Linked DNA regions of Cricetulus griseus. The protein of the gene in region 1 interacts with the protein of each later gene in a biochemical or structural test. Links are inferred from orthologs where the notes say so. Each region holds a gene or a part of one and is shown in the gene's direction. Other genes may lie near its edges.

The links.
Region 2: of the proteins of Ifih1 (region 1) and Trim65, one has a biochemical effect on the other in vitro, tested with the Homo sapiens proteins (2 studies listed by BioGRID, with this or other methods). The link is inferred for Cricetulus griseus from reciprocal best matches to the Homo sapiens genes IFIH1 and TRIM65.

What each region holds. Positions count from the first base shown.
Region 1 is NC_048599.1:112,294,008-112,297,529, forward strand, and holds part of Ifih1 (interferon-induced helicase C domain-containing protein 1), read left to right. Parts: intron 1-261; coding exon 262-472; intron 473-1,731; coding exon 1,732-1,949; intron 1,950-3,166; coding exon 3,167-3,283; intron 3,284-3,522.
Region 2 is NC_048600.1:128,708,523-128,710,829, reverse strand, and holds the end of Trim65 (tripartite motif-containing protein 65), read left to right. Parts: intron 1-9; coding exon 10-184; intron 185-298; coding exon 299-364; intron 365-876; coding exon 877-1,451; 3' UTR 1,452-1,798; downstream 1,799-2,307. UniProt on the Homo sapiens protein: E3 ubiquitin ligase that plays a role in several processes including innate immnity, autophagy or inflammation.

The sequences.
Region 1 (3,522 bases):
CAGCCTTATCTTAAATACCTTTGTGTTCTAGATGCAGTGTCTACATCTAATGTAAACACAATAGGTATTTAATGTCAGATGAATAGATTGAATGATATATAGATGGTAATTTCAAATTAACTGATTCAATACAAATATTTCTCTTATGAGTCCACACACAGTCCTTTGGCTGATATTCCTCTGTTTTTTTTTTTTTTCACTTTGGTTTCCTCTCTGTTTCATCTGAATTTTTAAGATATCTGTATGTTCTCATCTTTAAAGGTGATGTTAGCTGAGCAACTTTTCCGCAAAGAGTTCAACCCATTTTTGAAGAAATGGTATCGCATTATTGGATTAAGTGGTGACACCCAGCTGAAAATATCGTTTCCAGAAGTTGTCAAGTCTTATGACGTTATCATCAGCACAGCTCAGATCCTGGAGAATTCCCTCCTAAATCTGGAGAGTGGAGAAGATGATGGTGTGCAGCTGTCAGGTTGGTCGGAGTGATCACTTTTAGAAAAAAGGACTCATAGAAACATTAAAGACAGTAACAGGGGATGTTCCTTCAGTCATTTTTTACATGATGAAAATTAACCTTAGCTTATCTAAGTTATTTTTTATTTCATAAGGATCATCAAAGTGCTGTACCTCCTGAAAAATATGAACAAAAACAAAAAAATGTTTGACTCGAAGGCTTGCTTTTGCATAAGTATATCATTACTAAATCAAACATCAAGCACTCACTATGTTCTTCCATTACCCCTCTCTCTCTCTCTCTCTCTCTCTCTCTCTCACACACACACACACACACACACACACACACACACACACACGCACACACACACACACACACACACACACACAAACACTTTCAACTTAATTTTTGATTGACCCACAGTGTACCAGAATTTTTCTAAATCCTTCTTTGAGAGGTTAATAGTTCTTCCTTTGTGCTGTCATTCTGCTTGTGTCTCTCAGAGAGAATAATTACATTATAATATATATCATATATAAAATATTATGTATATAATTTTTAAATTTGATGATAGATCCTACTACAACTATCTTGTTTTGTTTTTGTTTTGTTTTGTTTTTGGCTTTTTGAGACAGGGTTTCTCTGTATAGCTCTGTAGACCAGGGTGGCCTTGAACTCACAGAGATCTACCTCTGGAGTGCTGGGATTACAGGGATGTACCACCACCCGGCTACAACTATCTTATTTACTGTAGAATAAAACTACAATCCTGCTTACATTATTTGGGAGGGTTAAATGATTAGGAGAAAGACAGAGAAAAGTAGAAGAAAATCACAATAATTAAATGCAAAGTTTAAACAACACAAAACCATCCCTCTTTAAATAGTATACTTTTCACTCAGTATAACAAAAATAGAATTTGTCAGCCTAAAATTAAAATTTTATTCAAGAACAAAAGTGGATCCCTGGGGAGATTTTTGTTTTTGTTGTTTGTTTATTTGGAAGAAAGATGTGAATTTCACTAACACTTTCTGAATCTTATCTTGAGACAGGGATAACAGCTAATAGGAACAGAGCCATGATTACCATACATAAACATGTTTTCATGTATGGTAATAAATGGGTAAAGTCATGACAGCAGATTGAGGTAGGGCTGTACCAATACTCTACCCAATGAAAGACACACAATGGTAGTGCATTCCTTTATAGCACCAAGGTGCTTGTCTTATTGTACCATGCCATTTTGGGTAATCAGACCTTCTACCTTTTCTGTTAAGATTTTTCCCTCATTATCATTGATGAATGTCATCACACCAATAAGGAGGCAGTCTACAACAATATCATGAGGCGGTATTTGAAGCAGAAATTGAAGAACAATAAGCTCAAGAAACAAAACAAACCAGTAGTTCACCTGCCACAGATTCTAGGACTGACAGCTTCACCTGGTGTTGGAGGAGCCAAAAAGCAAGCTGAGGCTGAAAAACATATTTTAAATGTAAGTCATTGAGTTAGTGAATGACCAAACAAGCTGTGTCTATGTCTTAGGATTTTAAATGGTGTTGAGAATTCAAGTGCCAATGTCATCAGTGAAATGAAGGCTATTTGCTTTGCCTCTAGAAATTAGCCTCAATTTTCTACAACATGTGATATCCTTCATAAATGCAAGCAATACAGAGCGATAGCATAATTGCTATGAAGCTAGATGTAATTAATGAGAAGAGTTACAGAGATGGCTCAGCCATTAATGGCTAGGCTCACAACCAAAATTAATGAGGTTTGGGTTGAGTAGAATGCCTGTGCAGCTACGTCGTCGCTTCTGCACTTGAACTTCATGATCTTCTTGATAAAGAAACATAGTTAAACTACAAATGTTGACAATGTTCATTCCTGATGGCTTGTTACTCCATGACTTTCAAAGCAGCTTGCTTTCTGTGTCTTTTTCCACTATGTGTCAGTTTAGGATACAGGTTATTCAAGTTAAAAGAGGAAAGAGGCAAATGCAGTGGTTCCTGCCTTTAATTCTGGCCAAGTGGGAAACAGAGCCAAGCAGATTGCTGCTAGTTTACATAGTGAGTTCCAGGCCAGCTAATGCTGCTGAGTAAGACCCTGTCTTACCCTGGCTTTGGGGATGTGAGTGGGGGGAATGAGAAATAGAAATAGGAGGATCTTTTATTAAAGATGTACTCATCAACTTCCCCATATGGGGGTGCCATTTACAGTGCTGCTGTTGGTTTCAAGTGAGATCATCAGAGTCCTCAGAAGCCTCCCATTGTAGGTTGAATTCAGTAGAAATTATTAAATTAAAAACCATTCAGAAGAGTGTTGTCTCCAAAATATAACTTATTATGGGAGTAAAAGCCTAACTTCTACTTAGGATCTAGGCACAAAGAGTAAGGCAGCCCCTCCCTTTGTGCTGTTCTCTTTGTATGTAGAAAAGAATGAGGCTAAGTCCTATATAACATCTACAAAATGGAATTTAAAGGACAAAAAAGGAATTAGAACACACTTTTAGAAGATACCAGAATATTATTGATCATTGATTGATTGAATCCATAGTAAGCAATGCTAAAATGCTACAGTTAATAAATAATGTTGCATATTACTTGAATAAAATGTTATGCTATATATTTATGCTAAAAACTTCATGTTACACTTTGCTGACACAAAAATATGCATTCAATTGTAAGAATACTTAAAGTGTCTCTTTTCCAGATATGTGCCAATCTTGATGCATTTACCATTAAAACAGTGAAAGAGAATCTCGGTCAACTTAAACACCAAATAAAGGAACCATGCAAGAAGTTTGTGATTGCAGATGACACCAGAGAAGTATGTTCTAAACATTTCACACTGTCTGTCAACACTATATTGAATTGAAAGATGGCAGGGGTTATCTTACATTGACTGACCAAATATTTCCATTAACATTTTTATCAAAAAGCCATCATTTTATACTTTTAAAAATTGATACAAGGCACCAGTACTTAGCTACAGATGATTCTTGGAGGAGTGGAAGTATTGGACTGAGGAGCATTGAATGGCTAAACTGGAGGGATTATAGGTGTTAA
Region 2 (2,307 bases), on another chromosome or scaffold:
GGGGTTCAGGGATTACAGCAGCTCTCTGAGCCTGTAGAGTCCCTTGGGCCACCGACCGCTCTGCAGTGGGATGAAGAGCAACAGTTGAACAACGTGAATGAATTGCTTAGCCCGCTATGCGAGCTCCTCCTCGAAGACAAGCCCTCCAGAGTGGCAGGCAAAGCTGCCCAGGCTGGCCCTGTGGGTAAGGCTGACTTCTCCTTGTCTTCTGAGTGCTACTCTCCCTCCCACTAGTGTGTAGAAGTGGGGAGTCAGGGGTCATTCCTACCCACTCCCCTATTTCTGATTTGTTCTTTAGAGGCCTTGGGTCCCCCACCACCAGTCCCCAGCACCATGTGTCCACTGAGGAAGAAGCTCTGGCAGAGTAAGGATGCCTGTGTGTGTACGTGTGTGCGTGTACACTCATCTGTGTGCTCATGACAGCACATGTATGCAAGCATGTGTCTGGGTATATATGGGGTGAGGGCCCCGATATGACTGTCCTGTCCATGGACCTTCCTGGGCCTGGCCCCACCTATGCACTTGTTGCAGGATGTAACCTGCGTCCACATCCGCCCTGAGGCAGCTGCAGCCAGCAAAGTGTTAAAGGGCAGATTCTGACCACATGCACCTAGGGTCCCTCACAGTTTTTCCACTTAATACTATGTGATCTCAACTCTCTGAACCTCAGTTTCCCCTCTTGTAAAATGGGAAGATGTAGAAGATCCCAGCTCAGAGGTAGCAATGAACAGTTCGCTACTATAATGATGCCTGGTGCTCTGCCCTCCAAGCCTGGTAGACATTTGAACTGTCTGTAAATGGACCCGCAGTAGCTCTCTATGCTGTAGAAAAGAAAAATGACACCTTTGCCTGCTTCTCTTCATCTCTTTTGAATAGATTATCGTAATCTGACCTTTGACCCGGACACTGCAAACCAGTACTTGTACTTGTCCCATGAGGACCAGCAGGTGACACACCGTTTCCAGGCCCAGAGCCCAGTCAGGCCAGGCAGCTTTGAGCTGTGGCAGGTACAGTGTACCCAGAGTTTTCAGACTGGACAGCACTACTGGGAGGTGCGTGCCTCTGAACACTCTGTGACATTGGGTGTCACCTACCCAAAACTATCACGCCGGAAGGTGGGGAACCACACGGATAACATCGGCCGTGGACCTTACTCCTGGGGCCTCTGCATCCAGGAGGACAGTATCCAGGCCTGGCACAACGGCAAGGCTGAGCGCCTACATGGGGCACCTGGACTTCTCCTGGGCATAGATTTGAACTTGACCTCTGGCTGCCTCAACTTCTACAGCCTAGAGCCACGGACAGAGAGGCTCCATACCTTCTATGCGGTGTTCAGCCAGCCTCTCTTCCCTGTCTTCTGGCTCCTTGAGGGGAGGACCCTCACTCTTTGCCACCAGCCTGAGGCCAAGCTCCCTCCAGGGCCCAGGGAAGAGGCCTCAGCACTCTGCTGACAGGGGCACAGACAAGTGTCACCATGCCGGTGAGGCCAAGAGTGGCTCAGCCTCTGACTTGGAGACTGAAGGCCACTATTGTTCAAGGAATAGCTGTTGGCCTCTCTGTTGGCTCAGGACACAGATGAGAGGGGAGCATCTAAATCAAAGTTTACTTTTCACTCTCTTTGAAGGAGAAGCCCCAGCCCCAAGCAAAAGCCAAGTTCTTGGCATTGCCTAGACATCTGTCTTAGTTACTGTTCTATGGCTGTGAGGAGACACCATGACCAAGGCAAGTTTTATAAAAGAAAGCATTACCTGGGGGCTTGTTTACAGTTTTAGAGAGTTAGTTCATGATCATCATGGCAGGAAACAGACAAGCCTGGTGCTGGAGCAGTAGCTGAGATCTTTGCATCCTGATCTGTGGGGGAGGGAGAGGGAGAGAAAGGGAGAGGGGGAGGGGGAGGGGAAGAGGGAGAGAAACTAAGCCCGGCATGGGCTTTTGAAACCTCAAAGCCCACCCCCAGTGACACACCTTCTCCAACAAGGCCACACCTCCTAACCCTTCCCAAACAGTTCCACCAGCTGGGGACTAAGCACAGGTTGTGGAGAGCAGATGTGGTGATGGGTGTGGGTGCTTGGGATGTGAACAGCTTGCCCTTGCTCTTCCAGAACAAGCTTCCATGAGGGTCCTGGGATGTTTTTTTTTTTTTTTTTTTTAACTGGGGTTAGAACCTGGAATGTTTTGAGTACTAGACAATAGCCCCTCCCTTGGCCAGACGTGACAGTGCACAACTGTAATCCCAGCACTCAGGAGGCAGAGGCAGGTGGATCTCCGTGGGTTTGAGGCCAGCCTGGTCTACAAAGCTGAGTTTCA